2 linked regions of the Astyanax mexicanus genome follow. The protein of the gene in region 1 binds, or shares a complex with, the protein of each later gene. Links are inferred from orthologs where the notes say so. Each region holds a gene or a part of one and is shown in the gene's direction. Other genes may lie near its edges. The genes, in order: eed and ezh1.

The links.
Region 2: the proteins of eed (region 1) and ezh1 are in contact, whole or in part, in a cryo-EM structure (PDB 7KTP), measured with the Homo sapiens proteins. The link is inferred for Astyanax mexicanus from reciprocal best matches to the Homo sapiens genes EED and EZH1. Residues at the interface, in NP_003788.2 of Homo sapiens: Cys84, Val85, Asn86, Ser87, Leu88, Lys89, Glu90, Asp91, Trp103, His104, Ser105, Lys106, Glu107, Val112, Arg120, Leu123, Tyr124, Gln129, Gly130, Glu131, Ile132, Arg133, Leu134, Leu135, Gln136, Ser137, Tyr138, Val139, Asp140, Tyr154; in NP_001982.2 of Homo sapiens: Gly37, Ala38, Lys39, Leu41, Tyr42, Val43, Asn45, Phe46, Lys48, Val49, Gln50, Lys52, Thr53, Gln54, Leu56, Asn57, Glu59, Trp60, Leu63, Arg64, Val65, Gln66, Pro67, Val68, Gln69, Ser70, Met71, Cys83, Thr84, Ile85.

The regions. Positions count from the first base shown.
Region 1 is NC_064428.1:19,808,395-19,812,319, reverse strand, and holds the start of eed (polycomb protein eed), read left to right. Parts: upstream 1-1,486; 5' UTR 1,487-1,561; coding exon 1,562-1,675; intron 1,676-3,925. UniProt on the Homo sapiens protein: Polycomb group (PcG) protein. Component of the PRC2/EED-EZH2 complex, which methylates 'Lys-9' and 'Lys-27' of histone H3, leading to transcriptional repression of the affected target gene.
Region 2 is NC_064426.1:22,696,118-22,700,042, forward strand, and holds the start of ezh1 (histone-lysine N-methyltransferase EZH1), read left to right. Parts: upstream 1-1,102; 5' UTR 1,103-1,288; intron 1,289-3,925.

The DNA.
Region 1 (3,925 bases):
TTTTTTGGCCTTATTTATTTCTTTATTATTTTATTGTACTTTGTAAAAGTTAGTTCTAACTTCATTTTAACTGTTTCTTTTGTTGTATTAATCTTATCTTCTTTTGATCTTAGTTTCTTATGAATTAAACAAAGTTTTAGTATTGTTTTTTATTCTTATTTTATTTTTATCTATTTTAGTTTTATTCACTGTTATTTTGAAATGATTACATGTACATATTATTTTCTTTGCCATGTCATTCCCTGTTTTTGTAAATGCTTTGCTATTCTGAAAGTAAGGTTGCCTTTAATGTACTTCCGAGTCAAAATAAAGCTTGATTGATTGATTGCTTTTGTGCAGTTTTCATATTTAATTTTACTGTAGTAACTTTTATACATGTTGTTGTCATGTTCCTCCTCAACATGTTTCATTAAAAAATGCTCTTAAATTCACTTTGCATGCATATATGTTTAAATGGGTTTTTGAAGGCTATTTTTCTCAAATAAATTTGTTTTGTATTCTATAAAAGTGGGTGAGAAAAAGTGGGTCCCTGGTTGAGACCTGTTGAGAAGCCCTGCTTTAAATCAGGGAGGGATGCATTCAAATCCTACCTGTGTAGGACGAGTGTGGACGTGAGTGATCGACCTACAATAGCTAGCTTAGTGCCCTACCTAGGGAGTATAAATCCACTATTTGAGACGTGCCCTACACGTACGGTGAGTGTGCCAGGTCCTCTTGCAGCGTTCGGCTGGTGATCTGTCTCAGGGCTCCCCCTGCTGTTCGGGACGCGCTAACACGCCCGGTGTTCTGTCGAGTTGCGCTACCCGTCGATGCGTGCTACTTAGCGGCTCTGCGCATGCGTGAATTCTCATTTATTTATTTATTTTTGACTATTTTCACGTGTTTTACAATCTGAGATCACTGAATTTTATATATTATTTTGTATTAAATTTGAAAATATAATAAAAAATAAATATAAAACGACTTCTTATACCCTATATTGCCCTAACGAACTCTAGTACAGCAAATTTAGGCTATTTTTTAGGCTATCCAAATATCACACCGAGACTTCTACAGCGGGCATTTTCTTTTCTTTTTTTGTAAAATTAAATCGCACAATTTTTTATGCTACCTTCACAAACCGTGCTACCCTTGTAGTATATTTATTAAATGCAAAATAAGCACCATATTAGAGCATATTCTCAGTGCAAGTCTATGTAAATTTTTGGAGAGCATAAATCACTGTATCATTGCACAGTTTTGTAGTAGTGAGAGGTCATTACAAAATATTTTTTTATAGTTATTATTGTATTTATTGTTATTATTATATATTTTTATTTGATGACAGTGAGTCCATGTTGTTTAATGTACAAAAAATATTTCCTATATATATAAAAAAGCGAGAAATAATTGATAGCTGTAGGTCAGCGCATGCGCAGTGCCTTTAGGAAGCACGTTTCGACGCGTAGCGCAACTCGACAGAGCACCGTTCTTCGGTCTGCAGTAGCGGAGCTCCTCTCCACGCCGCTTTGTGGCAGCGCAGCGTGGCCGCCGGGTTTTTCTTCAGCAGAGGAAGAAGAAGATGAGGGGGAAGATGTCTGAAGCTCCTGCCGAGGCGGGAAACGACATGCCGGCAAAAAAGCAGAAACTAAGCAGCGACGAGAACAGCAACCCGGACCTTTCCGGAGACGAGAACGTAAGAGAAGATCCCGCGGCGGCGGGTTCTAGTTATATATATGTTAGCGGGAGCTCCGGGGATCCGGGGCCGCGGCTCGCTCTCTCTCTCCGCCTCTACTGATGCTCTGTTTACCGGAGCTGCAAGTTTCCCTCGCTGGTTAAAATAACTTACCTCTGATGTGTTTAATTTTATCGAGCCTGGGGCGGACTGGTGTAAAATTGTCCTTTTTTAACCCTTTTCTGTGTTTCTATAGGCTTTGTTTTCTGTGAGACTCACTTTAGCGAGGTTAGCGGAGCTAGCTTCCAGTTTTGTTGTTCAGGTTAGCTGCTGGCTAACTCGCTGAATTCAGTGTAATAAAATAGCTGGGCTAGCTTAGCTTGGGTAGTTTCACTAGTTAATTTAGCCCTTTTAGACCTGAATTAAGATCCAGTGATGAAAACATAAGAATGCTATGTGCCTGTGATGAACACAAAAAAAAAATCTAATATGAACTTTCTGTAAAAAAGTCTATTAACTAAAATATTAGTTAAAGAGAACGGTATTACGTACACTTCAGTATTCCGTACAGTTGAGCATTTAAACAATAAAATACTTAATAATAAACTATTGTTATGTTTGAAATATAGTCTGGGGTCATTGTCAATCCTTCCTCTTTCCATTAAAACAGGTCAGTGACCATCCACGTTGTGTTTTCTCTTGAAATTCCGCTAGGTAGGGAGGAAAGGTCCGCGTCGCCGAAAACGGGTGGGTGGGGAAGGGTTAACAACGTTGAGGCTAGGGGGTGGGGAAAACTTTATCGACTAGTTTTTAACATCACATTTCACCCAAAATGCAACGTTAAACATCCAACTAACAGCATCCGTTGTAATATTTGATTGAGGAATTAATAATCATAGTTTATAACTTACTTTAAAAACGAGCTTACTCCAGCTCCACATCACCACTCACAGACAGCTGAGATTTTGTGCTGCAGCTTCAGCACATTTTTTTTTTCAATTCATAGACAACTTATCAAATCCATTTGACAAACACTTTACTAAGCTTCTACGTCAGTCTAAGCTCATATGTTATAGGTCATAGGTCGGCAATAGGCGGCTCGCGGGCCAGATGCGGCCCGCAAGCAAGAAACATCTGGCCCGTGAGGTTGAACTATAATGAAAAAAAAAATCGGACTGTCCGTCTCAAAAATGCTCTTTATTTAGAAACTTAATTTTCCAAAACAGAAAAATTTATTAAAGATTTTTTGATAGAGCCACGGGCTGTTAGATAACTGCTAGCTCCTTTATTCTGTTATTTTTTTTTTTATTCGTTTGGTTTTTTTTTTTGTTTAACAAACAGGTATATCATTAATAGCGCCCCCAATGGTCAGTCCACAGATTTCACCCACATCAGCCCACTTGAATGTCGTCTGCTTGTCATTTTAACCTCTTACTGCAGAAGCGCCCTCTAGCGGGCCCGCCGGCGGGCCCGTTCTGACTATGTAAATTAGAACGCTTAAAAGCGTCAAATATTCTAAACATACCGACCAAATAACCGACTCATATTCTTTAGTACTACTTTAACTACCTGCATGCAAATTTACAGCCATCTACATGAAACCAGTCGCCAGAAATCGCCAACTGAAAACAGCCTGTTTTTTCACATTGTTTACACGAGAAACACGCCTCCCCAACAAAATAGCCTTATAAAATAATATTAGTGTATAAAATAACATCATATTATATTATTGAAAATTCACTTACTATCACAGCATCCACAATACAGCACTGAACCGCAGGTAAAATATCCATAAAGTCCTTTATTTGCCTGCTCACGGCTCCTCAAAAACATGCGTTTAGTTTCAGCGCAGCCGTAACGTCGTATTCTCAAGCTCCCAGCGACTACACAATGGAATATTTTCCGTAAAGTTGTACGTGAATACAAAGCTAAGGGTGTCCTCTTCTAGATTCAGTGGTTTTTATTGGTCTACAATCCACTACTTTTCTTGAGTGATCGTCTTTTGAACCAATGGCGTGAGCGCTGGATCGCGCTGGTGTTCAGGGCTGTCCAATCAAATCAGATCATAGGCTTTTTCCAGCGTCACAAAAGTGATTGACACCTATTTCAACCAATAGTCCACCCTTAGACGAAAACACTGATACGTAATTTGCCCTGATTGGTCTCCGAATGGCTGGGGGAGGGGCATGCCAAACCGTCACCAAGTCACAAAAAAAACACCCCTCTCCAAACGCTAAAACACACAGCGCACACAGCGCGCAAACATGTGAT
Region 2 (3,925 bases), on another chromosome or scaffold:
AAATACACTTGAGAATATGCGGCGCCTGAATATTATTATTAATGATATTATTATTATTTATATGTATTATTATTATAGCCCTCCAGGTTCTGTATGGGTGTTTTATGTAATGGACTGTACCGCTGCTCTCCGCTGGGAGGCGCTGCGCTTCTCTGTCTGAGTCACGTGTCCGGGCGGCAGCGTGGTTTGACTCCAGCGTTGTTTTTCCCACTCGTCCTCTGACAGGCCCCGCCCCTCCAGAGCTCTGGAACAGAGGACCGCTCACTAACAAATCCCAGCACAGGGGGCTGGTCACTACTAACCAATCCCAGCACAAGAGGGCGGGGCTTGTGGAGTACAGTTAGAAAATAACAAAATAAATATATAAATACATACATAAATACATACATACAGTCAGCATCACCTCCACACAGATCTGCGGAGTTTGTGTGGGCGTTACTCACACCGGCCCATCGTGTGTTCTGTTCCTCTATAATTACAACATGAGCCTAATGACAAAATTACATAATACAATAATAATATATATATAATTATAATAATAACACTATAGCATTGTTGTTGTTGATGACATGATAGAATAGAATACGTATTCTATATAATAGAATGCTTTATTTTATAACTAACATTATTACTACTAGCACTATTACTCCTACTACTGCTACTACTACTACTACTACTACTACTACTACTACTACTAATAATAATAATAATAATTATTAATCAATATTAAATAGATAAATAGTACATAGCAGTATACATACCAGCAATACTACGCATATTATTGATGGCAATGCTAATAACATTACAAACTACCATTATTGTACTATTATAAATGTGTCCAATACACAGTAATGTACATATCAGCACTCTAGCAACAGTAATACATCTGCATTATATCTATTATATTAGTGATATTAATGATAAACATAATATTATTACAATTTTATTACACTATTATTATTATTATTATTATTACTGTGTATAATTGTTTGAATGATGTGATGAGTCATGTTTCGTGTTTGCTGCTGCTCGGTGTGTGTGTGTAGTGTGTGTGTGTGTCCGCTCCGTGCAGTCGCTCCTAATAAAGACGTCACACTCCGACCAGCCCCGAGTGCGCAGCTCCTAAAAACTGGAAGGCAGCTGAGCTCAAGTCTGGGCCGCTGCGGTGCTGCCCGCGCGCTACGGGTGACGCGGGGCTGCGGGCTGGTCCTCGAGGACGCTACAGGGGTCTGGAGCTCGAGCCCTTCAGCGTGTGGAGACCGAAACGCGGGGACACGCGAGTCTGAAGGTATTCCGAAACTGTGTGCACTATGTGTAAATGTGTGCCTGCGTGTGAACGCGCGCGTTCGTGTGTGGTGTGTGTGTGTGCGTGCGTGCGTTTCACAGCAGCAAAATCCCCTGCAACGTGCGTTTATAGCAGCGTTCCGCGTGCGCGCTGCCTCGCATGACGCTAAAACTAGCACGCTACATACACGCCGCGAAGTGGCGCGTGCATGCATGCGTGTGCATATGTATGTGCGTGTTTGTGCTGTAGCAGTAATTAGGTGGCCATCGTACAGAAGAAGTGATATTCTTCGACGCAAGCGGCTCGTGCGTGGTGTTGCCCGTCAACCCGCCACCCCCTCTCTTTTTTCCTCCGCACGCACGATCTCTCGTGCACGCGTGCTTTTGGGTTTTTGGTTCTCTGCAAAAGCAGATCTTTGTTGCTAATTTTCAGGAGGATTCGAGAGGATTTGGGGGCTGTTATGAAAGTGCACTGCGCACTTTTTAGTCGCGAGGAGTAGGAGGGGAAGGAGTCACGCCCACTTCCAGTCTCGAGACGAGAGGTTGCATGTGTTTTTCTCCTGCTACACGCGTGCACGCGCGCTCACACCACCGTCAGACTGCTCACTCACACTGAAGCTCGCTGTTTTCCCCCGTATTCAGCCACCGGATGTGGAATGTTGGTGTTAAATTTAGGTGACTACCCTAATAATGCTGACCGCGCGCGCAAGTGAGTGACTGTTTTTTCCAGGAAGGGCTTTAAAGCCCTTTAAACAGGGCGAGCTGCAGTTCTGTTTTGCTGCGAGCAGGAGGCGCCGGAGCGAGCAGAGCAGGCGCGCGGGAGTAATGCTCCTCAATGACAAAGTTTGAGTCATGTATTTTGTGAGTCTGTGTGTGAAGCTGCTGTGTATGAGATCTTATCACATCTGGAGAAATTCACTCCAGAGCATCATCAGTGTGAATCTACTGCTATCCTCTGTCTTTGAAACATTTTTATGTTCTTATTAGTTCTGTTTTTCAGCATTTTTTTCCAAAATTGACTTCTTATCTATATATTTGTTGACATCTGGCATGATATGTGTTTTGTTTCTGTAGGTTATTTTAATGGGGCATTCACACCTACCTTCCCAGCTGGCATTTCAACGTTGTATAAACGTTGAATCAACGTTGATCAAGGTAGATGTTGTGGTTGAATCAACGTTGAATCAACTGTTGATTTTGAAAAGGAAATCAACGGTAATATAGCAACGTTGTGTCAACGTCATATGTTCAACCACTAATAAACCATAGCTCACTAAAATGAGACAATCGTATGGTTAACAAAGTGTTAACAATAAACTTACATCACTGTAGTAAAGCTGAGTATAAAGAAAGTTACCCACCACTACCAATTTGATTCAACATTTGATCTCAAAAACACTAAAACCGTAAAACTATTAGAACATGAACATGATGTTAATGTAAAAGCAGTTACTGCAAATAGAAGTAAAACACTGTTTCATTCGTCCATCCCACCATTTTTATAAATTATATGGTGATGAAATGTAAAATGCTGATTCAAAAGGCAGAACGTTGAGTACATTATGTTGATTCAACATTAAAATTTCAATAGCGAAAAAGCGTTGTTTAAACGGTGAAACAACAACATACATTACTTTAGTCATATTTCAACCACATTTCAACGTTGAAGTTCGGTTGTGTGCCAGCTGGGTTGATTTCAGTTTGGTCTGGGTCAAAGTAGCAGTTGTGAAAGGGGCCATAAACCATGAGAACATTTGTTTTGTGAACAATGTGTTGTCCCAGAAAAGAGCTGTTCTGTTCTATGACGGATGCTTAGTTTCACTAAGGGTGTTTTCACACCTGTAGTCCGTTTCTCTGGTCCGAATCAATTTTATGTTTTCTCCCTTTAGTTTGGTTTGGTTTCACACAGGCATAAACATAAATGCACCAAAATGCGCACCAATCAACCACGTGAGCACGTTGTGTCCTCTGATTGGAGAAGATTCTGTGCTCCAGCGCGTATATCTGTGAGGTGTGAAGCTGCTTTAATTTAAGGCTTATTACAACACCTGTGAACAAACGCTTTATCATGTAATAATGTAACAAAGACAGAAACCTTGGTGCAGACAGGTCTGGATATTTAGTTGTGAAGGGTTAGATTAAATATTGCTATTTGCTACAATATCACGTAGCAAATATCACGTGTAGGTTATTTTAAACCTGTGTTTTAAAGCCTAGGATTGCAGGTTAGCCACAGTGCTAAAAGCTGTGATTCAAACAAACACAGCAGCTGGTCTCGGCAGTGTTGTTGTTTCAACAAATTGCCAGCTGTCACCTTTGTTTGCAGTGCTGTCGTAAACAAAAACACAGATTTCTACAGACTGGAACTGAATCGCCTGTAATCCAGATTCTTCTTGAGACCTGCCTTTGCTGTGGAGTGACCCACTGCCACAACTGCTGGTGTGATGACCTAGGGAGCCATCAAATGCAATAGTTGGTCACCCCTAGTAGTGATATGAGGGACTCTTACAGCTCAGCTGTAAGGATATCCTGTAGCCACATGTGTTTCTTCTCATGGCAGGGTATTTTTCTGGCATTTTTCAGCAGGATAATGCTCACCCTCACACAGCACAGCTTTTACAGGAATGTCTCCACAAGATTG